7 linked regions of the Nothobranchius furzeri genome follow. The protein of the gene in region 5 interacts with the protein of the main gene of each other region in a pairwise test. Links are inferred from orthologs where the notes say so. Each region holds a gene or a part of one and is shown on either strand. Other genes may lie near its edges.

Evidence for each region.
Region 1: the proteins of ntaq1 (region 5) and psme3 interact in binary tests that used the Homo sapiens proteins (3 or more experiments, as listed by UniProt). The two-hybrid records come from large-scale screens. The link is inferred for Nothobranchius furzeri from reciprocal best matches to the Homo sapiens genes NTAQ1 and PSME3.
Region 2: the proteins of ntaq1 (region 5) and mif interact in binary tests that used the Homo sapiens proteins (3 or more experiments, as listed by UniProt). The two-hybrid records come from large-scale screens. The link is inferred for Nothobranchius furzeri from reciprocal best matches to the Homo sapiens genes NTAQ1 and MIF.
Region 3: the proteins of ntaq1 (region 5) and kctd1 interact in binary tests that used the Homo sapiens proteins (3 or more experiments, as listed by UniProt). The two-hybrid records come from large-scale screens. The link is inferred for Nothobranchius furzeri from reciprocal best matches to the Homo sapiens genes NTAQ1 and KCTD1.
Region 4: the proteins of ntaq1 (region 5) and kelch-like protein 12 interact in binary tests that used the Homo sapiens proteins (3 or more experiments, as listed by UniProt). The two-hybrid records come from large-scale screens. The link is inferred for Nothobranchius furzeri from reciprocal best matches to the Homo sapiens genes NTAQ1 and KLHL12.
Region 6: the proteins of ntaq1 (region 5) and lonrf1 interact in binary tests that used the Homo sapiens proteins (3 or more experiments, as listed by UniProt). The two-hybrid records come from large-scale screens. The link is inferred for Nothobranchius furzeri from reciprocal best matches to the Homo sapiens genes NTAQ1 and LONRF1.
Region 7: the proteins of ntaq1 (region 5) and edaradd interact in binary tests that used the Homo sapiens proteins (3 or more experiments, as listed by UniProt). The two-hybrid records come from large-scale screens. The link is inferred for Nothobranchius furzeri from reciprocal best matches to the Homo sapiens genes NTAQ1 and EDARADD.

Annotation. Positions count from the first base shown.
Region 1 is NC_091756.1:48,472,636-48,475,634, reverse strand, and holds the end of psme3 (proteasome activator complex subunit 3), read left to right. Parts: intron 1-28; coding exon 29-147; intron 148-867; coding exon 868-1,004; intron 1,005-1,109; coding exon 1,110-1,164; intron 1,165-1,963; coding exon 1,964-2,050; intron 2,051-2,124; coding exon 2,125-2,205; 3' UTR 2,206-2,499; downstream 2,500-2,999. UniProt on the Homo sapiens protein: Subunit of the 11S REG-gamma (also called PA28-gamma) proteasome regulator, a doughnut-shaped homoheptamer which associates with the proteasome. 11S REG-gamma activates the trypsin-like catalytic subunit of the proteasome but inhibits the chymotrypsin-like and postglutamyl-preferring (PGPH) subunits.
Region 2 is NC_091741.1:91,262,145-91,265,656, forward strand, and holds mif (macrophage migration inhibitory factor), read right to left. Parts: upstream 2,149-3,512; 5' UTR 2,039-2,148; coding exon 1,931-2,038; intron 1,043-1,930; coding exon 870-1,042; intron 766-869; coding exon 699-765; 3' UTR 501-698; downstream 1-500.
Region 3 is NC_091751.1:52,385,324-52,389,408, forward strand, and holds the start of kctd1 (BTB/POZ domain-containing protein KCTD1), read left to right. Parts: upstream 1-1,285; 5' UTR 1,286-2,041; coding exon 2,042-2,281; intron 2,282-2,860; coding exon 2,861-3,039; intron 3,040-3,705; coding exon 3,706-3,850; intron 3,851-4,085. UniProt on the Homo sapiens protein: May repress the transcriptional activity of AP-2 family members, including TFAP2A, TFAP2B and TFAP2C to various extent.
Region 4 is NC_091755.1:52,045,803-52,050,082, forward strand, and holds the start of kelch-like protein 12, read right to left. Parts: upstream 2,801-4,280; 5' UTR 2,725-2,800; exon of another isoform or gene 2,655-2,724; 5' UTR 2,573-2,654; coding exon 2,515-2,572; intron 2,049-2,514; coding exon 1,822-2,048; intron 1-1,821. UniProt on the Homo sapiens protein: Substrate-specific adapter of a BCR (BTB-CUL3-RBX1) E3 ubiquitin ligase complex that acts as a negative regulator of Wnt signaling pathway and ER-Golgi transport.
Region 5 is NC_091759.1:9,346,730-9,350,169, forward strand, and holds ntaq1 (protein N-terminal glutamine amidohydrolase), read left to right. Parts: upstream 1-1,245; 5' UTR 1,246-1,339; coding exon 1,340-1,404; intron 1,405-1,593; coding exon 1,594-1,693; intron 1,694-1,904; coding exon 1,905-1,955; intron 1,956-2,037; coding exon 2,038-2,186; intron 2,187-2,256; coding exon 2,257-2,381; intron 2,382-2,469; coding exon 2,470-2,612; 3' UTR 2,613-2,940; downstream 2,941-3,440. Other genes in the region: ribosome biogenesis protein bop1, read left to right, coding at 1-51, 138-291. UniProt on the Homo sapiens protein: Mediates the side-chain deamidation of N-terminal glutamine residues to glutamate, an important step in N-end rule pathway of protein degradation.
Region 6 is NC_091746.1:77,560,115-77,563,614, reverse strand, and holds part of lonrf1 (LON peptidase N-terminal domain and RING finger protein 1), read left to right. Parts: intron 1-636; coding exon 637-831; intron 832-919; coding exon 920-1,320; intron 1,321-1,402; coding exon 1,403-1,517; intron 1,518-1,598; coding exon 1,599-1,720; intron 1,721-1,803; coding exon 1,804-1,962; intron 1,963-2,080; coding exon 2,081-2,243; intron 2,244-2,379; coding exon 2,380-2,532; intron 2,533-3,500.
Region 7 is NC_091752.1:9,549,922-9,553,421, forward strand, and holds part of edaradd (ectodysplasin-A receptor-associated adapter protein), read left to right. Parts: intron 1-1,752; exon of another isoform or gene 1,753-1,843; intron 1,844-2,027; coding exon 2,028-2,086; intron 2,087-2,410; coding exon 2,411-2,453; intron 2,454-3,431; coding exon 3,432-3,500. UniProt on the Homo sapiens protein: Adapter protein that interacts with EDAR DEATH domain and couples the receptor to EDA signaling pathway during morphogenesis of ectodermal organs. Mediates the activation of NF-kappa-B.

The sequences.
Region 1 (2,999 bases), on a different chromosome or scaffold from region 5:
GCCTAACAGTTATTTAATTATCTTCCAGTGACGGGCACAAAGGTCTTCGTCATGCCTGGTGGGATGATGAAGTGCAACACAAACCTTGTGGAGCTTATTGAAAAGGTCAAGCCAGAGATCAGGACACTCATAGAGAAATGTAACACAGTAAGTCATCCGTGTCTGTCTCTTTCAATGTGTGTCCTTAAATGTCAACCTTACTGGAAAAACATTTTTTAATGATAATTCTTATTATAATTGGTCACTCTGAGATTTTTATGCAGGCGAAACATGAAAATGGTCTCCTACACCTATCTCCTGCATTAGCTTCTGATAGAAAATAGACGGTGAAACTCTAGGATTAGAAAATCCTGACAGATCTACGTCACCCTGTCACTTAACATTCATGGACTCACGACGGGGAAGGCTGTTGTTTTAGAGTCCAGGAAAGGGCAGAGAATGGCTTCGCTAGTAGAAGCTAACTGTTAGCATTAGTAACTCCACCACATTCCAGAACTCCTCCAGGCTTGTGTTATTTGTGGAGATGAAACATCAGTGTTGCTAAACAGAGTCACTGGTAGAATCGCATTGCTGTTAGCCAAAGAGATACGAGATGTCCAAGTATTTGGAAAAAAGACTCCAAATCCTGCTGTGTTCAGCTCCGCTTTGATCTGGCTCACTTCTAGATCCTGAAACAGGCACACTGGAGCTTTTTTTTCTTCAGAGCACAATTTACAAGGCATTCCTGCCTACTAGAGACCACCGCAGATGTATTAAAATATGAGTTAAGTTGATCATTTGTATATGTGTTGGTTTTACATCCTGACTAGCCACACCTCACGTATCACTGATGCTTTGTCACTCAAATTGTTTCTTTTTTCCCCGCAGGTTAAAATGTGGGTTCAGCTCCTCATCCCCAGGATAGAGGATGGCAACAACTTTGGCGTTTCAATCCAGGAGGAGACGGTAGCTGAACTCAGAACAGTCGAAGGAGAGGCTGCGTCTTACCTCGATCAGATTTCAAGGTCTGCAGAGGCTCCAAACATATGGATTTATTTCTAAACAAAGCAAAATGGTGTTGTGTATTTTTACAGTGTCCAAACGTTGTTTGATTCCTCTTTTAATCCTAGATACTACATCACAAGGGCAAAGCTGGTTTCTAAAATAGCCAAATATCCACATGTGGTAAGTAGTTATCTTAGAATGGATTCAGTTTTATTCCAAGTATTGGAAATAGAATTAATGCTAGAATGTTTAAATGTCCTAAACATTTCTCACATCATTTACGTGATTTTGGGTCCATGTCTGACTGTCGTTGAAGGCTTGATGTGATTTAAGCATTTTTTAGTCAAACTGCTGCGCCTTTCCTAACAAAGTGGTTCAAATTAGTTATGTGCCTTTGGACCACCTATAAGGTAGTTAATGTATTAAATATGTTTACCTCAGTGGTGTTGTGTGTTGCTGAAGTAAGTGCAACTCATAAAGGTTATTTTTGTGTGAAATTATTATCGTTATTAATTAAACCCTTTAGATAGCTTTCAGAACAATCTTATTGCTAAACAGGCTATATGACTAATAAGGTTTATGCCAATAGTCCTAAAACTACTCATGTTACAGCAGTTCATGCAAATGTTATTTTACTAATTCCCATACTGTCATCTGTTTTGGGCTACTTTGTTATTTTGGCATTAATTAAAAAATATCCGCCAGACCCAACCCCGTGTGTGCTGGAAGTGCTACATTTAATGCTGATTTAACAGCAATGTTTATAAATGATGTGAAAATTACAAGATTGAGAATAACCTGAAAGTCTGCTTATCTTGTTCCAAGATGCTTACGTGTGTGCAACATGTTTTCTTTCCAAGCTGTTTTTGGGATGAATGAAAAATTTGGCTATTTATACTTTTCATATTTACATATCAAGATTTCTGACCATTATCTATCTTTCATTGTGTTTACAAACCGTTTTTCTCCTTGTAATCAGGAGGACTATCGGCGCACGGTAACAGAAATTGACGAGAAGGAGTACATCAGTCTGAAGATCATAGTTTCGGAGCTCAGAAACCAATATGTGCGTTGTCTTCAATAACAGTCTAGTCATCGTGTATCTTTGTTGTCCTTAAACCTGCTTTTTCTCTCATGAAGGTAACGTTACACGACATGATACTGAAGAACATTGAGAAGATCAAGAGGCCTCGAAGCAGTAATACTGATGCATTGTACTGATGTCGGTCTCTCCTTCCCTGTCATCTCCCTGCTCTTACATGCTGGCAGCAGCCTCACCCCCATCTGCAGGAAAACTAGACATTCACACACTTCAACACACTTCAACACAGTCGACTCAGCCCAGTATGAAAACATAGCTTCATAGATGGACACCTTTTTGTTTTAATTGTAAATGTGTTTTTGTTTTAATTCCTTCAAAAACGTTAAAGTTCTCTCAGAAAATGGGACAGTAAACTATAGGCAACATAAAGCACGATGTATTTTTTAATTTTAATTAAACATCTTGTCTCCAGATCCTTTGTGACATTTCTTCTTTTGTAGCTGATATTTTGTGGAATATGAATTGGTCTCATTGAACCTTTTCTGGATCTGGATGATGCTGGTAAGTTTGACATGAAATTACCGGTAAACAAAAACCTGTTGTTCTCTGAATGTTGTACATTATTACATTGTGTAGGTGTCAGGTCAGACGTTTTAGATTTGTGGGCTTAACGGTTTTCAGTGAAAATGCATAAGTCAGCATTGGTTCTATTGAATAAAACCATTTTTGATACAACGGTTTTTATCTGTTGCTTACCAGACAGACATCTGATCATAGGATGACAAGTAGTTATAATAAATTATTTTTACTAATTATACAGCCACCTATCAGAGGGTTATAGCTCCGCCTCTTCCTGGACTACATCACATTTGTAAAACTAACCTTTATCTTTCATTTTTTTCTACAAGAATATGGTTCACACAGTCATGTTTTCCCCCCACAAACACGGGATGTTTGAATGCCTTTAGTTGTG
Region 2 (3,512 bases), on a different chromosome or scaffold from region 5:
GGACTGACCCATCTTAAACCTTTGTCGGCTGTGCTGAAGAGAAAGGTACAGAACCAAATTATTTAATTAATTGGCTACGCGTTCTCCTGTCCTCTGTCATCCGGGCCACACACACACACACACGGGACTGTCTCAGCTGTTATTTTCGTTAAGGAGTGTGCACGTACAGCATGCGCACCTCGTGCATGAGCCTACTATTGAAGCTGCCGTCACGCTTTTGGCCTGAGGGGGCAATCGCGAGCATAAACATTCAAAACTCCGTAAAGTCCCTTTTAAAGGTCCTATATCATGCAAAATCCATTGTTGAATGTTTGAAAGAGTGGGTTGTGAAAATAACTTCCATTTCACAAAAATGACATCTCAATAATGCCAATGGTAATATTTATCATATAGTGTGCCTACTATTGCTCTGTAAGGTGTGAAATAGCTGCATGCAGGTCCTTTAAATATGATAAAGTTTCTGAATAGGAGGGCTTACTGACCCAAACAGAAGATATTCATTAATTGTTTCACGTGATTTTCTTTATTCGTTTAATTGCAAAAGGGTCAGTACATAGCAAGGGGGTCCAATCAAGTGCATTTAAGGTACCCCTACAGTATTACCTGGATAACAAAGTGTCTCAGCTCTTTGCTTTATTTACCCTAATACAAGTAGGAAAACACTGGAATGATCTTTTATTTCAGTCTTGACCTCCATCCTAGCCAAAAGTGGTGTTGTTCCAGGCCACATTGGCTGCATCCATGTCCACAAAATTGATATAAATTCTAAAACAGACACCAGAAGAAAGAGGTTAATGAGCAATGAATAGAGGTTGTGTGTTTGATCAAGTCCTACAAAGAGGATCAGCATGCTGATGGGCTACTGTTACCTGTCAGCGGAGACTCCCAGGTGTTTGTTGAGCAACCCACACAGTAGTTTTGAGTACTGCTTGTTCTGGGCGCCACTGATCTTGCCGATGCTGTGGAGGGAGCACAGAGCGCAGGGGTCTCCCTTTCCACCAAACATCATCATTTGGTCAGGGTTAATATTCACAGCAATGTACTGAAGAAAGATGAAGGGAAAAAAGCAATATTAAGTGTCAAACCTAAGTGAGTGAACAAGTCAACAGTTCTTGAAGCAAAGACAAATATTTTTCCATTGTACCTTTACTAATAAGTCTCCAAAAATATTTGTCTGTACAATTTTTTTCCATATTGATGGAATTTAGTCTTTTATATTGAAAGATTTACAACAGCGCTATTTGTAACATTCACTTTTCTGTAGATTTAGCTTTGTTGAAGTCTGTCATTCAAAATCTTGCTTTAAAAATGTTATACTGTACTTTGCTATCGTTTCCCTCAGAATTTTATTTTTTTTCTTAAGATTTCTTTATAATTAATATTTAGATTTTTGAACCTTTAAGTATTTCTGTGTTGAGTTGTTTTGGTGTTTATTTTAATCTTAGTCTTTATTTTTCTCCTGTTGTGGATGTGGCAAAAACATTGCCTCAAAAAAAGGAGGGATTTTCTTTTCTATTAGTGTTTATTTTCGTTTACTTTAAAACTATTTTATGTTATTATGTTCTTTATCCTTTTGAGTTTAGGTGTTTTTTTAATGCTCATCCCACTCTGAAGTAATTTTATTTATTCTTTGTAATTCACTTTATCCATCTTGCATCTGGGAAATTTGGACCAGTGATATATAATCCAGATTAATTCATGTAATTATTTTCAACTATGCAAACTGATCCAAACTGATGAGCCGCTTCCGTCCCTGCAGGTAATCTCTAATGTTATATTAGCATTTTGACAAACATTCTTTCATAATGGATATTATTTAGTATGGTACTGATGTGATTTAGTATATATATCGTTCCATATATAATCAAATGCATCATGGTAAATGATCTGCAGGGTTATAATGGTCTGAAGGAACATCTTCCTGACCTACCTGAGCAGGTTTACCCATCGCTTTAGCTAACTCCTCCGTAGCCTCGGACAGCAGAGCCGCAGGCACGTTGCTTTTAGCCACGTTGGTGTTCACCACAAACATCGGCATGATTGCTTTTTATTTCTTCTCTCCAGCTCAAGCTGCAGACGTTCTTCGTCTCTTTCCAGATCGTAAAGAAGCCACGAGAATGACCTCTTCCTCCTCCTTAAAAATGAAAAACTAATTGACCACAGCGCCACCTCTCATCCTGGAGGACACATGGCAACAAATTTTTAGGCCACATTAGGTCACCAACCTGAAGCTGAGAGCTACTTTCAGGGTTGTGACTGAGCGTTAACCAAGTTTGATACAATAGTGAAAATTTGTGAATTTTGGATTAAAAAGAAATCCTAAGCCTAACCCTAACCCAAATCCAAATCTAAATCATTGATTGGATCAGAAAGCTGGTCTTTAATAGAAACATAAACATTTTAAGGGAAGTTTGCACTTTTGTTGTTAAGAACTTTTTTAATTGCAATTTATCAAAGTTTGTTTTTAACTTTTTTGTCGGTTTTTTTGTTTTTGAAGTACCTTTTTCTTTGTATTGATTAAAAAAGTACATAATAATATACAAATATATAACCTTTGAACTAGAATAGATCAGAGTTAAACTAAAATGTATTTACTATAAACATATTTAAATATTTGTAAAGAAACATGTAGGTTTTAAATCTATAATAATGCATTTGCGATTTTAAAAGATGGCAGCAGGTTTGGAGAAAAGGCCTGTGGGCACCAGATTGGTAAATCCCTTCTTTACACATTTACAAAAGCAAATATGTTCTGACCATCTACATATATACTGGACAATTCATTTCCATAGGCTCCAATAACACGTTTTTGTGCAAAAATGGGAGGTGGCCACCACCGCCATTTTGACCGTGTCACAGGTTCCTTCAAGCCCAGACAATTCTACAAAAGGGAAGAGAGGTGGAGCTGAGGGTGTGGCTGTAAGGCTGGGATCAACTGACGACACCCGGTCGAACTAGCTACAAGCTAACCCAAAGCTAACGCAGAGGTGGGAGCTAAGCTAACGGAGGTAGCAACCTAGCTACAACCGGAGTTAATTGTGCACAACACCAGAGCTTCTGAGTCAGAGATACGCCGGGCTGACCGCTGGGTAAAACCGGGTGGAACACAGAGGTCTCCCGAAAGCTGCTGGAAGCCAGCAGCCCACGCAGCAGACAGAAGCCGCGATTAGACAGAGATGCGCAGAGCTGCGGGGAGGGGAAAAACGGGTGGAAAACATCGGTCTCCCTAGAGCTCCACAAGCCGATAGTCGGAACCCAGCTCCACCAACATGTTATATTTCAACCCATTTTCTATAGTGCAGCATTATCACAATGTAGTTGTGAGCCTGTGTGTGTATTTGTTAGCGGCTCCGCCCTCTCGGTCTGCTAGGCTACAGCATTTGTTGCATTTTTCAAACAGGAAGTGGGAGTGGAGTAAGAATCTGGTAGGGGATGACTCATTCTGAGTTATTTAATAAAAACAGTACAAGTGAAAGATGGAGAATGTCACTAAAAATTATTAAATACTTTGG
Region 3 (4,085 bases), on a different chromosome or scaffold from region 5:
CTCTTTTGCCCCGCAGGCCCCTTTGCCTTCTGCAAGGGATTCTGGAGTTGAATTTTAAAAACTATGTATGGCTGCTGCCTGCGCTTATCAGCGCGTGCACAAGTGGCATGCAAATCAAACGAGGATCACACACCCGCATTGGAGGCCTACACTCAAAGGCAAGCTTAATTGCTAATTGGGTATCTAGGTGTGAAACCCACATTGCCAATGAGAGGGAGGAACGTGGATGTTTTAAGGCCAGTGGTTGAACTAATTAATTTTAATCTGACTATTATTAAAAACTGCAAATTCTCTGCATTTTCTGTGGGGGAAACAGCCCAAGAGAGTGCTGTGGAAGGAGTTTTAACTGCAGTTGGACATGTCGTGGTTGGGATTTTATACCGCGTGATATCATCAGTGTAGATGTGTGATAGCGATGTGGTGATTAGAAACAGGGGCTGAAGAGCTAAACTGTGGCCAATAGCGCCAACAAGTGGGAGCCAGAGGGAGGCATTAACACACCTTCAGAGTTACTGCCCCATCCCTGTTCAGAATGTTCATTTACATCTATTGATTTATGCTTATGTTGCTTATTTACTGCAACCAATTTCTATGTATTAGAAGAACTATTTCTTTGTTTATAATGCTTTTTGACCATTATTCTTCAATCATTGTAAAGCCCGACCTTTACTCCTGGGTTTAATTAATAAGATTTGTGCAGCCATGAAATTAGCAAAACAACCAAAGGAGTGGGTAGAGCCTCCAAAAGTGTGTCTTAAAACTCCTCTGCAATAAATTCACTCTCATTTTAAAATGTTTGATGCACTGGAATATTGCATTCGGTAATAATGAACAAAACACCAAAATATAGTTTATGTTTAAATCTTATTCACTGTGAGGGTCATTGCAGCACGTGGAAAACCAAATTGAAGCTATTCCTAGTCACATTTAGCTGTGGAATGGCATCCCCTTCCTTAACCTGGAGCTTGTGTTTCTGGTAACAGCTTGCTGCTCAAATACCATCAAAAGACTCCTGCAGAGGATTCTGTCACTTTTTTTCTCTTTGCACAAACATGTCTTGCAGTGATGCTCTTTCCACAGATGCATGATCCTAACACAATTTCTAGTGATAATAAAGTAAAATAAATAAATAAATAAACCCACTATTCCTTATTTTTGTGCTGTTTATATGACAATATTGTAATTAAACAATCAAAAACATGTATGGGTGTTCATGTGCCACCCCCATTGCCGCCCCCATAACTACCAATTTGAAATTTGTCAATGCTTGCCAATGATTGTAGCTCTTAAGTGTCACTTTAAAAAAAATCAACATTGTTGTTATTGTGGGGCAGAAGGTTTCCTCTGATCTGTTTTTCAGAGCTGATTTGGACTGATTGAGAGAATAGGTGCTGTTTGATTGCCATGTTGTAGATATTTGTTTGATCCAGAGGGTGTGTGTTGGCCACAGCGTTTGGGTTGGTCACTGTTGAGCTTGTTTGGTGCTTTGAAAGAGGTTTTGACCCGCTAAACCAAACAGCTGCTGAACAAGGGGCATCAGATGTGATGAGGGGAGGAAGAGGAGGTGACCGCTGTTGCGCCTCCTAAAGAGGGCAAAGGCCAGCTGCGGTTGCGTCCAGATGTGCGCGGCAGCAGCAGCAGCATCACAACGTTTATCTAGTCGGGCTGGGTTTGTTTTACTCTGAAAATGCGACACACATACGTGCCAGTGAAACAGCGACAGCCCAAAAGAGCCTCGGGCGCCACAATGCTAACGTTGTCTGGGGCTTTGACTTCTCCCAGCCAGTGTGAAGAAGCTGCTCCGCGCGACAGTCACGGCGCTCCTCCGCCGCTCTTCCTCTCGCTCTCTCCCGCTATTCACGCTTTTTTCCTCCGTCCTACATTCTTTTTTTCCCTCTGTTAGAATAAACGGTCCCAACTCTCTCTCTCTCTCTCTCTCTCTCTCTCTCTCTCTCTCTCTCTCTCTCTCTCTCTCTCTCTCTCTCTCTCTCTCTCTCTCTCTCTCTGCGTCGATCGCCCTCTGAACCTTTAACGCGTGAGCATGATGGACGAAACGGATATCATGGATCTTACGCATCAGAAAGCGAAGAAGCGACCGCGTCCAATCAGTTCGGTGGATGAGTCCGTGCATGCGTCGCTCAAGCGGCTCCCGATGCGAGCGGCGGAGTGCAGGGAGCCCTCACTGATGTTCGCTGTCAGAGGAGAGCCGGTCCCCGCTGCGTCTCTGAAGCAGAATGATCACTCGGTGGCTTCCTCTCCAACCACAGTTATGCCAGCACAGGTAATACTAATAATGGAAATACTAAAAAACGATGTTTTCTTATACAAGTTAGAATTATTATTTTTTTATTTTAATTGCCTTCTTTCCATCATTTGTGCGCATATTTTTTTGCATAATATTGCCTTACTGACTTTTCTGCTCTTTCCTGATTTAATTTTTCGTTTTTCCGTTTTAGATGCACTGTTTTTTTTCCCCCTTTCACTCAAAAGTTTGAAACTTTTTTGGGGGGAGAAACAGCTATTCAGTCGCAGCTTATAAGAAAATTGTGTTTGTAGGTTAATATGAGACTGATTTTCCCACCAAATCCTATTATGGTATTCAAATCAAGAGTCATTATTGCTCACTTCCAAGAGAGATTGATGCTCCAAATTAATTTGGTTTTGGAGATTATGGCCCACAGGAGGTAGATGCTTGTAGACTGTGGCAACATTCAGGTCAAGGTCAGGCTGCTTCTATCCTGTTGGAAGAAAATCCTCCAACCCTGGCTGTGGAGTGGGAAGAAACAGATTTTTGCATCTGCAGTGTTTTAATTCTGTCGTCATTTTGAATTTATCTTTTCTTTTTTTTATGCTTTTCTAGGATAATCGCTCCAGCATGTCCAGACCCATGATTACGCGGTCACCAGTGTCTCCTTTGAGTAACCAGGGCATCCCCACACCTGCACAGCTCACCAAGTCCAATGCCCCTGTGCACATTGATGTGGGCGGACACATGTACACCAGCAGTTTGGCCACCCTGACCAAATTCCCAGAGTCTCGGTGGGTCTTACTTGCTCGATTTTCTGAAAAAACTCTCTGCAGTTTTAGGCTAAATGTGTTTAGCAGTGTCACGATTTCCTCAGAGTTTAATGTCAGCGTGTTTGATGTCATTATGCGACAGTCAAATGTCACAACCCTTCAAATCTCACAAACACACTTGGAACAGATAGAGATTTAGTGTCAGGTACTTATTTTTTTAAGCACTCAGGTGCATCAAAGCACTTCTTCTGGTGAAGTCGGCAGTTATTTTAAGGGGTAAACAATCCTGTGAGAACACAAAGTGCAGAATGCAGAGCCCAGACAAAAGCAACTTGCTTATTCTGACAGATGTCACGGCAGCAGCAAAGAGCCAAAGGGCATGGAGCCATCTGGAGGCCGGGAGGCCACGCTGTCGCTCCGAGAGCAGGCCTCAGGGTGACAGGCACCCGGCCTCGGGCAACCCAGCACCAGCTGGACCTGACCTCTCCACTCCACCTCTGATTTTAATCCTTTCTTTTCTTTCTTTTTCATGCACATATATTACTCAGCCTTTCTCTCTTTTTGTCTAAGCCTCCTTGTAGAGTCCATCACTACAGTTTGTGCTTTAATAAATCAAAATCTTAATCTCAACATGTTGTTCTCCCACCTCTCTCCCTCTCCTCCTCCGTCCTCCCCCTCCCGCTGTAGAATTGGTCGTCTCTTTGATGGCACGGAGCCTATAGTCCTGGACAGCCTGAAGCAGCACTACTTCATTGACAGGGATGGACACATGTTCCGCTACATTCTCAACTTCCTCAGGACGTCCAAGCTCCTGATTCCAGACGACTTCAAAGTGAGTGGGTGACCATCCTAGAAACTGTAAAGTGCCATCAGCTAGTCAGCAGTCCTGCAACTTAGCTCACACAATAGATGCTAAGGCTATAGATCGCCTTTGGTCATCGGTCTTCGTTGAGATGGTGAAAACCATTCTGGAGATAAAATATCAAGAATCTAACAAAAGAAATGTTGAATTTTGGTGACACCAGTGAGCATTTTTGCAGGTAATCACGTGCATTGACTGTATGGCA
Region 4 (4,280 bases), on a different chromosome or scaffold from region 5:
CGCAGCCATTACACTTTTCACCTCGCGCACCCCCTAGCGGCAGCTCGCGCACCACACTTAGGGAGTCCCTGCTCTAAGGTAGAAAAGAGAGAAAAAAAACTCCAGATGCATTTTTCTGATTTTGTTCCCTTACAAGGATATTTATGCCCTGTAATTATATCGGCATTTAGAGGGGCAAAAGGGTTTCCGTTAAACAAACACTGTCTCTGAGGAGAGATCCATCCTGCAACAGTTAGTATGTTCAAATGTGTCTAGGAGGGATTTTTAGGTCCAGTGTTAGTCTGAACAATCCACCCACAAGCTGACAGCTCTGAAAACAAGTTATCAAACCTGCCAATAAAAGGCACGTCCTGAATGACACCCTGCAGCAGGATCTCTGATGATGCAGCATGATAAAGACTCGCTGCCTGAGTAGCTAGACTCCACCAGGACTGGTGTCTGATCCTGTCAGCAATCTTCATGAACGGAAGCTCACATCGCAGTCGAGTGGTTTGGGTCTCATCTCTGCTTTAGGTGACAGCAGATGATGTGGTTCTGTTAGCATCTTCAGGCTATGATCTTTAGCGTGCACTAGCATGCTTCACAGCTGGGGGCCGAGGGCTGGGATGAGAATCAGCTCCTCTAAGACCGATGTCATTGTTCTCAACCGTATAAAGGTGAAACACTCCCTCCAGGTTGGAGCAGAATAATTAAAGTATCTTGTTAACTAAGAGATGGATCCAAGTAAAACAGAATCTATTAACATCAGCTGGTAAAAACGTTTATAAATGGAGCAGCAAACAGTGTTTTCATTCAGTTAGATGCAATGGTTGCAAATGCAGCTTCATGAAAAGTTAAACACTTAGCATGGAAGCAGATAGCAGCTATTTTTAGGTCTGATGGGATTTCCTTCAGATCAAGAGTCGACTGTTCAGTTATCTGAAAAAGTGCTGTGCTCATTTTCTAATGATGACAACAACTTATTATCTAAAGAACGTAAGCTTTGTTTTCTCCAGATAAGATGAATACGATGAAAATGGGAGAAATTCCTGTGTTACGCCCGTTTTCTTCATTTAGTAGCATTGCTGTGACTCTTGGATGATTAAAACTTATTGATGTGCTGTTTACTTTTGAATCAGTTGCAAGCAAGACTGACCTGATTTCTGATGAAGTAGCCCTCTCTGGTTGTGAGTTAGAAATAACTGTCTTAACACATTGGAGCAAGCTGTTCCAGGTCAAAATGTCTACATATTTCAGCCTGTTATAGCAACAAAACAAGCTTTATCCCCAGTGAAAGCATTAAATAACAAAATAAACCATTATTAAAAGACCTGCAAATGAAACCATATTTGTAGGCCTGTCATTGTGCGGCTTCCAAACGTCCGAAGTTTTGTTTTGTTTGGCTCACACACAACGGTAAAATGTAGACTTCTGTTATTTACTCACTAAGTAAAAAGATCTGTTGGATTTGAAAGATCTCATGTCAGAATAACACATGGATGCTGAGGGTGCTGTTCTGCAGCATCTCTTACTTATGAAGCATGTTGGAAGTAAAACTAATATTATGTAAATATTAAATAAAGTCTCAAATGTTGGGATGAACTCATGTGTTCCTACAATACAACTGTACTTAACAGAACCTCTTCCTAAAATAAATTTAGGTTTTCTTTTTATTTCCCATCAAATGATTTGAAAAATTTGTTGTACATCCAGTATAAAATCCACACACATCCATTTAAGTTACAAGTAATAGTTAACCCAAACAGGGGAAATGCCCCCAAATTGTGAATATTTAAAAAAAAAACTGTTTTGTACATTTTAGTCCTGAAAAGAAAGTTCTACCTCACTGGTGAACATGGCACAAAAGTAGTCGCTGCAAGCAGCCAAGACGATCCGGTGAGCAGGAAAATCCGCGTTGTCCACCCTCAGAGTGATGTCGCAGAGTGTGTTACTCTTGCGGAGTGAATTCATTGCATTGAGGATGGATTTAGCATGGGAATTTGTCATGATGTCTTTGGGAGCCATGCTGTTTGGAGGATCCGTCATAGATCTCAAACTCCCACAGGAACCTAAAATAAATACATCAAGACAAATAAACGGAATTCTTGCAGACCACAATGCCATCTGGGAACAGGAACAGAGACAGGAAGCACCGGATTATTGGATTAATAATAATAATAAAAACTTTAGCATTGGCTCATTAGTTAAAGATTATTCAGGAACCATCATGACTACTGAAAAAACATTTTTGATGAATCTGTAGAAATCATTAGATGTGTGTGTATTGGTTTGTTGTTTTGTTTTGGAAGAAAAAAACAAGGAAAGACATCAAATAATGTCACATCTGTCAGTGGAAGAGTCCACAAACAGGTATTATCCATCCTTAGGTATTTAAAAGCTGATATGTTGATTAAAACCAGACAAAAAAAAAAAGAATAAAACAAACGTATTTGTCAAACAAAAACCCATGTTTGAAACTACAAGTACATTTAGTTAGAACCAGGATTTTTATTTGATCGTGGTGATGAAACTTACCGTGAAAAGATCCTAACACTTTTTCCACCACTGGGAGGCAATAACTATAGCTACACATGAGCTAAAAGCAGCACTGAACAACAGCTGACGGCTAACGCCAACGCCACACAACTTCAGAAAACAGCAGCTACAAAAGCGGCCTGTAGGCCAGAGGGAGACAAAACAAGAAGCGACACACACACAAGAACTTGGCAAGAATTTGCATTATACCTGCAGGGCAGAGTCAAAACGTCTAGCTAAGTTGTTTTGCTAACTAACTGTAGCAGCACCAAAGTCTCAGTTCAAACCGCCCTAATCCATCATGACCTCCGTCAGGTCACACCAACACACGGCCTCCGCGGGGACGGGTCTGTTCAAAATATCAAAATTATCTCATATTATGTCCCAGAACGATCTTTGAACACCAACAATTTAACGTTGACTAAACTGCAGTGGGTCACAGTAGCGCCACCAACAACATAGTTGGCAAGCAGATGTATCATATAATAGTTGGACACGAACTTTCAAACAAAAATCCAGAATTCACTTGTTCGTAGTAAAATGAATAGCCTTTAGTCTGTGGTTGTTGTTGCTGTTGTAGTATATGTTGTTACATGACTATATGTTGTTACATGACGTTGTTACCTGATGTTCAGACATGATGTTGTTACTTGATTTTGTTACATGATGTTACTTGATGTTGGTACCTGATGTTATTGCATGATGATAGTACATAATGTTGTTACCTGATGTTGTTACAAGATGTTGTATAATGTTGTTACTTAATGTCACCTGATGTTACCTGATGCTGGTACCTGATGATGTTACATGATGTTACGTGATGTTATTTGATGTTGTTACCTGATGATGTTACATTATGTTGTTACCTGATGTTGTTACTTGATGTTGTTACATGATGATGTTACATTATGTTGTTACCTGATGTTGTTACTTGATATTGTTACATGATGATGTTACCTGATGTTGTTACCAGATGTTGTTACATGATGATGTTACATTATGTTGTTACCAGATGTTGTTACATGATGTTATTATTTGATGTTGTTACTTAATGTTGTTACCTGATGTTGTTACCCGATGTTGTTACCGGATGTTGTTATATGGTGTAGTTACTTGATGTTGTTACTTGATGTTATTACCTGATGTTGTTACTCGATGTTGTTACCTGATGCAAAAACAAGGTAAAATAACACTTGCTGTGTTAAAAAGAACAGTAATGCAGTAGAAATGCAGAACAATTTAATAAAACAATGTCAAATGTTATGACATGTTACTCATTTCTATGCACAGTGTAGAAGTAAAATGCTATTTGTGACCAAAGTGCCATTTAAAAAGATGAACTCAAATGTCAACTCACTTGTGCAGTGGAAATATGAACTAGACAAAGACATGGACAGATATGTTTGCCACATCTGAAGGGGATAACCTAATATAAATTAATGGAAAGCTGACATAATTTGCTTCAAAAGTTTGTTTTCCCTGACAAAGTCTCAGTTATGGAAAACTTGAGACACAATTTTAATATTGTGACAGTTTTGGTTATCATTGGTTTTGATTTTATAATTCAGATTGTCATTTTGACAGAAATATTTACACTGACGTTCAAATTACTTTTTAAATGTAATTATATTAAATGTTAAAACAGCTTGCCAAATTCACCGGCAGCCGGGGCGATGACGTACACAGTGCGTGAGTGTGCGTGCGCGCTCCCCAAAGAGCGAGACGCGTTTTTTTCCCAGAAATATGATGCCTCCCGCGCGTCCTCG
Region 5 (3,440 bases):
CTCGGCGTCTGATGATGGATCGGTGATCGTCTGTCACGGGACTGTTTACAAGTAAGACCACAAACACACCCTGAAAATCTATTCATAACAAGACTTATAAAAGACAGGATATTAAAACTTGCCGCCGTCTCTTCCAGCGACCTGCTTCAGAACCCGCTGATAGTACCTGTAAAAGTTCTCAGAGGTCATGTGATCACCCACGATCTTGGTGTTCTGGACGTGATCTTTCACCCCACTCAGCCGTGGGTCTTTTCCTCAGGAGCTGACGCCACCATCCGGCTCTTCACCTAAAGTGTTTTAACCAGCAGCAGCTCTGTGTGTGTGTGGGAGGAGTCTGACCTCCCTAATGGACTGATTACCAGGATACCTTCTTCTTTTTTTTTTGTTTTGTTTTCTGTAGTTTATTTTATTGTTTTCAATAAAATGTATTTTATTGTTTTCAATAAAATATATTGTTCTTACAATTTGTCTCTGTATGTTAAAACTAGGAGAATTATTGATTCTTTTTTTAAAACCTACAAAATGTAGTTTTATTTGTCTGCCTTCATTTTAAAGGAGTTTGTGTTGCGGTTACCTTTTTGAAAAACAAGACCATTTATTACAGCTTTCAAAAAGGAAATAAAATTATCTAAAATTATCAACATAATTACAGCTCTAAAGGTTTTTTTTTTTTGTTTGTTTGTTTTGTTGCCAGAGGCAGAAATTAGGACTATCCCAAATATAAAGTATTTGTGCTTCAAATTTCATCATTATGGATATTTTTAACTTGAACCAAGTTTTTGGGTATTTTGTACAAAGCTTGTTTCTAATAGTAAAAGTATTTGTAATAACCATGTAAATGCACGACTGCGCAGGCCTGGGAATATTTGTTGTATCTGTTGTTTAACCAGGTTAAAGGCCTCTCTTAAGAATAAAATCTCTAAGAATATCAGCTTTCTTTATGTATCAGTTGTGCTGAACACAAGCGGGAACTATGTTTAACGAAAATATTCGGGTACCAGGGTCTGCAAAATGTTCTTAGAATATTTACTACAAACAATTTTCTTTATAATGAAGTTGGTGTGACAAGAGTTTTCAACCATGGGGACACATTTCGAAGTGACACCGTCGGAGCGGTTTCGGTGTAACACCGAACCGCGAGTTCTGTTACTGGTAAATCCATTCTGTTACATCATGAAAAAAACTTCAGTTTGTTGGGTTTTACATAATTATTCGTCAAATTTTGTAGCAAAAAACAAACAATTTTCTTTATAATGAAGTTGATGTGACAAGAGTTTTCAACCATGGGGACACATTTCGAAGTGACACCGTCGGAGCGGTTTCGGTGTAACACCGAACCATGAAGGCAGTAAAGGATCGAATCACACCGAGTCGTGAGTTCTGTGTTTACACCAGCTGTTACTGGTAAATCCATTCTGTTACATCATGATTAAAAAAAACTCCAGTTTGTTGGGTTTTACATAATTATTCATCAAATTTTGTAGCAAAACGCAGTTGGCTTAAATGGTAGCTGCTACATTCTTATGGATATGATTTTATTATTATTAGATTATTTTTGCTGTTTGATTAGTGATGTCTTAATTTGCTTTGCAGTGAGGAGAATGTGTGGAAGTTGTGTGAGTTTGTTCAAACAGCGAGGACTGCTCCACTGGAACAGCTCTTTGTGGTTTTCATCTCTAATGACAACAGAATGGTGAGAAGATCAGCTCTGAGAAGTTTGTCATGTGTTACAAAACCCTTTAAACATATTTAACTCAACAGATTTAGTCTCAACAGGTCTAAAGTTTAACAAATCATCACGAATCCCCTTAAATTTGCCAAGTTTGTATAAAGAATCAACATTTTCACTAAGATCTGACTTCTGCTGCTGCTGCTGATCAGTGATGTTATTTGTTCTCCTTCAGGTTCCTCTGTGGAAGCAGAAGTCTGGACACGCTGACCATCCAGTGATCTGGGTCTATGATTCTCCTTCCTGTTAAAGTGGCCTCAGAGCATTAAAATAATACATTGTTAATCATGTTTTTTTGGGTGTTTTAGGACTACCATGTGATCCTGCTTCATGTGGATCCTCAGTCGGAGGTTCTGGTTTATGATCTGGACACAGAGCTGTCATTCCCATGCAATCTGAGGCTTTATGGCAGCCAGGCCCTCCGCTCAGACCACCACATCAAACCTGAATATCACAGGTAGCACTGCTGAATTACACAGGTAATGCACTGGAGTGAAATCACCAACACCTTCTCATATCTGTGACAGGAAGTTGCGTGTGATTCCTGCTGAGAGCTTCCTCTTGAACTTTGCGTCTGATCGAACTCACATGAAGAACCCTGATGGGAGCTGGAAGAAGCCCCCTCCCTCTTACCCCCCTTTAAAGACCACTGGTAACAAATCAAGTTAATGTGGAGCATGTTTTCTGATTCCTGTCTTAGGAAAAGGTGATTTTGTACTTTTGGTGCATTTCCTCTTCAGGGTGTCAGATGAACCTGGATGACTTCATCAGCATGAGCCCAGCTGTTGGCTGGGGGACAGTTTTCAGTCTGAATCAGTTTCTACAGAAATACTTAGGTTGCTCCTCCACCACCTCTTCATCTTCATCATCAGCTCAATCCTGATCAGCATCCTGGCAGCTGCTGTTTTGTGATTAGCTTTTATGTTATTATGAACATTTAATCTGAAATGATTGAGAGACTGAGACAAACATTGAACTGAACTTTATGTTTTGGGCTGAGCTGCATCTCGTTTGACCTCTCTTGAGTTTCACCTTGGCCTCTGAAGCTCAGAGGAAACCAGAAACATGACGACGACAGCGCTTCAGCCATGTCACAGATTCATCTGGAAACTGAAGTGATCCTTCATCACACACGCCTGTGAGAACTTTGAGCATCAGCACCTTGATTTCACCTGAGTTCCTGAGAAATAAAAAGATTTTATTTAATCTTTGATCGCGTTGGATTCTCTGTCTCTGTAGCGCAATGATAGAATAAAAATTAAATGTATAATTGTAACTTTTGGTGTCAATTTGAATCTTGGTTTCCAGAATATTTTAACAATTAAAACTTGGTGAAATTATGCAGATTCTAGTTAACAGCAGATTTGTGTTTGGGTATAAGTTCTATTTACCGTTATAGATGACTGGTGGAACTTGTGCAATCACTTTCACCTGTCATATGTTTGTGTTCAGTATGGCAGGAGTGGTTAGGACACTGGTTTAAACAGGAGGATCAGGCATGTTTGGTTTCAAATTCTTTTCTGGAAGAAGCTCAGGACAGCAACATCCAGATAAAGTAAGCAACCTGTTTTATTTTATCAATCAAACAATCTTTAAGATTATTTTCTTTTGAGTTCTTTGTCCCTTTGAGAAATGCACATCTCTTTAGAACAAACATGAGCGACAACAACAACTCTGACCAGGACGGGGGTCGGCAACCAGCGGCTCTGGA
Region 6 (3,500 bases), on a different chromosome or scaffold from region 5:
TTCGGGAGGTTTTGACAAAAAAAAAACAGAGATATAATTAAAACATTCATGACTAAGATATGACAATAAAATGTGCACGGCTGTTTCAAACCGTTTGCAGTTGCATCCAGTTCTGCATGGGACAGAGCCGTGGATAAAAGCTGCTGCAAAGATGTCCATTAGAACTGTTCTGAGCACGTTTGCGTTGAGTTTTGCATTTTTGTCTCCCCGACTAGTTGCAGCCAAACGAGAAACGGACCTAAAGACTTGTTGAGACATTTACCCAGTGTTGTAAATATGTCAACTTCACTTTCTACCTTTGTGTGATCATTGGAATTACATAAGGAGTTAGTAGGTCAGGTCCTGTGACTCTGTAATGATATTAGTACCACTTAATGACAGAACACTGACAGCATTGTAGTTATGTAAGTGACACATTTCACTCGTGCATTGTGCATCAACAATTATTCAGGGCTACGGTTTGTCTTTGTTTACAAGATGGCTCCAAAACTTTGCAGACTTTTCAAAAGTTCATAATGTTTATATGTTTTGCAGATGTTTGGTTATAAATCTGCTTTCTGGTGTTGGTCTGCAGCTTTTCTGACTCGTTATTCCGTCTTGTAGAAATCACGTTGACCAGAGTTGCTGTTTTTGCAGATTTTGTGCGACCTGCTTTCTCCAGCTGATGAGAACGTGAAAGTCGGCCTGAGAGAAACGACGCAGAGCACGCTGCCTCACCTACGCACTAAAACTCTTGTAGAAAATGCTTCCGTGGAGCCACAGAGCCCGGTTCAGAGACGGCACCGGCACCGGGTCTGCGCCGCCTCTGCCCACCACACAGACAGCCAGGAGGTACCTGCATGGTGAACTCTTCAGTCACAGGTTATTCAGTCAGACTAATCCAGTGACACCCCCACCACTTTCTCATGTCGTTGTTCAGAAACGGTGCGAAAGCCCAGAGCGCCCCGGTCTGAGCCGAGCCCAGTCGCTGCGAATGCACGGCTCCAGCAGTATGGAAGAAGGGCTAAAGAGAGTTAGTTCAGCTCCTCAGCTGGGCGATCAAGACAAGGGAAGCCTGCTGAAGAGGAAGCTGTCTGTGTCGGACGTGGAGGCCTACCTGGTGGACAGTGGGAGTAGCAAATATAAAAAACAAGGTCAGCTCCCGGCCTTCACCGTCACTCCTAACGGCACAATAATGAGATTAATCCTTAATCTTTGCTTCTGGATGACTTCAGGTTGGACAAAAGGCTCCAAACACCAAACAGCCAAAGCGAAACCCTGCAGACAAGTTCCCGAGGATCTGCTGGACCCCAACGACTTGGAGTGTTCCCTCTGCATGAGGTAAGGTCACCCCAGAGAGCCACCGCACGTGTAAACCTGTCCGATGAGCCAGCTGATCGTTACATCTCACTGACCAACACAGATTGTTTTATGAGCCGGTGTCTACACCGTGTGGCCACACGTTCTGTAAAAACTGCCTGGAGCGCTGCTTGGACCACACCCCCCAGTGTCCCCTCTGCAAGGAGAGTCTGAAAGAGGTAAGACGGTTCCACTCCTGAGAAATCAGCCTCCTCATTCACACCGCCACTCCTTTGTGACATTAATTCTGGTGTTTTCAGTATCTAGCATTCAGGAAGTACACAGTGACAGCAGTGTTGGACACGCTAATTAAGCAGCACCTGAGGCATGAGCATGAAGAGAGGTTTAAAACCCACCTGGAGGAGAACCAGGAGCTTTCCGAGTAAGCAGCCTTTCTTTTCCTTACCGGTGTGCAGAAGATTCTCAACCAGTCTAAATAATCCACCTTTCTGTTCCTCTCTGCAGCCTGATGAAGAATGTGCCTGTTTTTGTTTGTACCATGGCTTACCCAACTGTGCCTTGTCCTCTGCACGTCTTTGAGCCTCGTTATCGCCTCATGATTCGCCGCTGCATGGACACGGGCACGCAGCAGTTTGGGATGTGCATTAGTGAGCCTGAAAAGGGGTGAGCATGCTAACATACACACGTGTGCATATGCTCTGTCCTTGTAGTAATAACTCTGGACGCAGAGCAGTTGCAGACTGATCTGTTAGTAAAAGGAGCGTTTATGTTCATGTTGCAGGTTTGCAGATTATGGCTGCATGCTGATCATCAGGAGCGTCCATTTCCTCCCTGACGGACGATCTGTGGTCGATACCGTCGGAGGAAAAAGGTTCCGAGTCTTGACCAGAGGAATGAAGGATGGCTACAACACTGCAGACATCGAACACTTGGAGGACAACAGGGTGAGAACCACCTTAACATTATGTTACGGGCATCCCTGAGTGCCTCTAAAGAAACCGACGTCATTACAACTTATTCTAATAAATCAGATAAATAAATGTATCCAGTTAAGACTCTGATGAAGTGATGATCTGTCAGGTGGTGGACAGAGAAGTCCTGGAAAAGCTACAAGATCTGCACGACGCCGTGTACGAACAGGCCCAGGTCTGGTTCCAGAACCTGAAGATCCGCTTCCACAATCAGATTCTGCAGCACTTTGGACCAATGCCAGAGCGAGAAGCTGACATCCAGGTACAGGAACGGTTTGTGGAGGAGGTTTAAACGACACAAATAATGTGTTTGAAGTGTTAGAGAGGTCACGTTGGCAGAATATCAGCAATCTTAAGGGTTTAAATTACTTTCACCAAAATGTGTGTGTGTGCGCGCGTGCGTGCGTGCGTGCGCGCGCACGCATAGACCATATTGGAGATGGGCCAAACCATTTTTGTGCTGTGGGGGGTTCCTGTCCACTGTATCAAGCACAATTAGGAATCACTTTATCCATTTTATGGATTTTAATGGAAAAACCCAAAAGTGACCAAGATGGCTGCTGCAGCTAATCAGCCGTTAGCAAAGCGGACGCAAAGAACAGCTACCAACATTTCAACACTCGGTGTGTCGTCATCAGAGTTAATGTGAACACTTAGAGGAAGGTAACCATGCTCAGGTGTGCTTATTGGTCAGGAACAAACAAGGTGTTACCTGCACATTACCTACCTCAGCTGTAACTAGATTACCCTATTTTCCGGAGTATAAGTCGCATCAGCCATAAAATGTATAATGAAGAAGAAGAAAAAACATATATAAGTCGCACTGGACTATAAGTTGCATTTTGGGGGGAAATTTTATTATTTTTCTTACAAAATTTGAGACCAAGCGTTTCACATTGCAAGACAAGTACCGGTAACAATAACAGGATAAAGAATCAGGGCGCAGCAGCGCGCCACGGTCTCCACCAGAGGATGGCGGTGTTTCAAACCCTCCCAGCAGGCAGGTAGAGCGCCCGCACCACCCCGCCACAGGCTGCAGCAGGTGATGGCGGTGTTTGAAACCCTCCCAGTGGGGCAGAGGAGCTGAAACCTGGACCGGAGCCGGCCCGCAGCAGCGCGGTTTACATAATTTGGCATATAAGTCACTTTGTTAAGTCGCAGGACCAGCCAGACTATGAAAAAAAGTGCGACTTATAGTCCAGAAAATACGGTATTTACTTCTTGTTTTAT
Region 7 (3,500 bases), on a different chromosome or scaffold from region 5:
AAGACTGAGGGAAGTACTCACACATACACACGCTGACACACATAAACTCACACCTACATACACTGAACTGGGGAATGGACATGCATACACACACACACACAAACACCGAACAGGGGCAGGACATGCACACACACACACACACACACACACACACACACACACACACACACACACACACACACACACACACACACAAACACACACTTACACTAAGTTGAGGACAAAGAGGCTGGAGCTGACTTGGGAGAAATGATCTTAAAAGGGTAACAACATAAGACACTTTAACTGAGATGCAGACAAAAGACACATGTGGGCGCTATGAGACACAGAAGAGAATCTAGAGAGGGATGGAGAAACATCAGGAGACACATGAAGGAAGACGCAGATGCAGACCATGACAGATCCCAGCTGGACTTTTATAGACTTTCACCAAATTTTGAGAAATCTCAAACTGAACTCAGAATAGCAGGTTCACTGAGAATCAAACCTTTTTACTATTTTTGATGTATGATCGGTCCCTCTGAGCTTCTCATGCTGGCTGAACATGAAATAGTCTCCTACACCTATCTCCTGCAGTAGCTTCTGATAGAAAACAGAAGGTGAAACTCTAGGATTAGAAAATCCTGACCTACGCCACACTGTCACTAAAATACATGGACTCACCCATCATGGAGATAGTGCTAGGTAGGTAGAGCGGGCTGTCCAGTAATCAGAAGGTTGCAGGTTCAACCCCGGCTCCCACCAGAGAATGCTGCTCTTGTGTCCTTGGGCAAGACACAACCCAGCTTGCCTGCTGGTGGTGGTCGGAGGGACTGGTGGCATCTGAGTTCAGCAGCCTCGCCTCTGTCAGCACGCCCCAGAGCAGCTGTAGCTACATTGTAGCTCATCCTCACCACCGTGTGAATGACTGATTGTGTTGTGAAGCGCCTTGGGGGTTATAGAAGCCTAACAAGGCGCTGTACAAATACAGTCCATTTACCATCTTGGCTCACAACGGGGAAGGCTGTTGTTGGTTTAGCGTCCAGGCAACAGCAGAGAACGCCTCAGCCAGTAGAAGCTATTGCTAGCATTAGCATCTCCACCACACAGCAGAACTCCTCCATGCTTGTGTTATTTGTGGAGATAAAACAGAGTCGTGTTGCTGTTAGCCAATCAGAGGTGCAGTTGTTGATTAAATGTTAAAATGTTTCACATCATACGTGTGTGTGTGTGTGTGTGTGTGTGTGTGTGTGTGTGTGTGTGTGTGTGTGTGTGTGTGTGTGTGTGTGTGTGTGTGTGTGTGTGTGTGTGTGTGTGTGTGTGTGTGTGTGTGTGTGTGAGGTCCTGTACCTGAGCTAAAGCAGCTGGTTTAACCGATGGACACACATGGCTGCACCTGGAAGGCTGCGTGTCGGAAACATACGATGGCTTAATCCTAAATCAGGTTTCCCATGCAGATGAACTTTACTCCTTATAGCGTGAAACCCAAGAAAGGCCAGAGCGTCTCTTTATTTTGGAGCTCTTTGGACACAATGAGTTTCCAGTGACGTGGGCTCGTGACGTCCCACGGCGCCCCGCTCAGGTATTTTGGGAACTGAAAAGCTGCCTTTGTGCTGCTCCCAGGATGACCTGCTGAAAATATACCCACAAGGGCTGAAGCTACTGGATTTGTAGGTTTTATTCCTGTTGTAATTCCTGAGTTTTATTTTGAAAGAACAAACACAGCTGAAATGATTTGTGGAAGAATGATGAAAAGCCCTTTTCTTTTGTCAGGTTCTTCACAGGAGATAAAGTGAATTAGGCCTCTGGTCCGGTTGTGGTTCCTCTCTGGTTGATCAGACTCATTAGGTTGCTGGTGGCTCAGGTAGCTGTAGTTTACTGTTATTGGTATAAAATGCGTCATGCTTTCAGAGCTCACCTCTTCCTCGGCAGCAAGAAGTGGCTTCCTGCTGCCTCTTTGCGGCTGACACTTTGACATTCTGTAGGAAGTTGCTGAAATGAGACTTGACTTGAAATAATGACGATGTGTCTCTGTTTTGGTGGGACAGGCAGAAGCAGCTCTGAGCCAGTGGAGGACACGGACACCACCAGCTTTATGACAGAGATTGTAAGAAACCACTTCCTAATTCTCTCCTCCAGCCTTGACTTTGACATCTGCTCACTGTTCCAACTTGCTGATTGTCCAGTTTAATGATTTTTTTTTTTGTTCGTGATTAGAAAGCCCTGTAATCTGAGTAAAGTGCCAGAACCAAGCAGGCCGTGCTGTGATTGTGAGCGCTGAAGGGCTCGTTTCAGAGCAAGTCGAGGCAGGCTGTTCTCCGTGTCTGCAAACACGAGAGGCGTTTAGTGCCTGGGCTGCAGGCCGGGTCCACAGAGCTTCACACAAAGCAAACAGGCCTCTTCACTAACCTCGCCTTTGTCTCTTCCACAGTCGTTGGAGGCCAATTATCCTGTTCAAGTCACAGATCCTCACGGTAATACGACTCTCTGCTTCAGGGTCAAGCAGAAGGCTGCTTAGCTGCTAGTGACGCGACAGCAAAATGCTAAATATTAGGAAAGTTTCTTTCTACATCGATGTGAAACATGAGATCAAAGTTGCTTTTCTGACTTTGTTTCAAAGTCTGTGTGTTTTAGCCAGTTTTAAGAAAGTTTCTGTTAAAACTTTATAAATGATTTCACCCCTAGATGAACAGCCTCAGTCTGGAGAAATAGTCTGTGTGTTCCTGACACCTCAACGCTGTTCATTCATCAGAGCCCTGCAGGTCTTAACATAACACATTTATTCTTATGTAGTTTGGCGCATATCAGTTAATTATAATTTAACTTTCTTAGATGTTAAAGTCAGATTTTCTCGTGACAAAAAGTGATTTTAACGATGTAGGAAACAGGAAGAGTTAATAGGAAGTCCACTCTTCATACAAACCGTGCCAACTTTATTAATAAAACACACAGAAGCAAAGTGCTGCACACTAACTTCACATCAGCACATTTAAACATGTATGCTTTCACATGAAAGTGAAGCCTGTTTCATCTTATTACCACCCAGCCTGAGGGGAAAAGTTCATAAAACAACATCCCATAATGCGCTGTGATGTTCTGGAGCGGTTTTAAGACGACAGCAACAGAGGCTGTTCAGGAAGTTGTCTCAAACATGCGAGATAATAATTATTTATGACTTTTGGAGAGAAAAACACTCCAGAAAAGCCCAAAACTCCTTTAACCACAGAAATCAAATGTTTTCTGTTTTTATCAGGTTAGGATAAAGTTGAGTTAGTTTAAAGTGAAACACTAATCAGGATGGACGAGAAGTGGAGATAAACTTTAAACCCCAAACAAGCAACATAGCTGAAGGAAACGTTAAAACCAACACAAGTGAGAAAAAGCTGCTGTGTTGTTTTAGACAAGCTGGGACTGGTTTTTCATCAGAGCTGACGGTAATGATCCTCCTGCAGATGCTGTGACGCTCCACCTCAGCTCCATGCCCTCCAGATACCTGAGCCCCTCCTCTGAAGACAGGATAA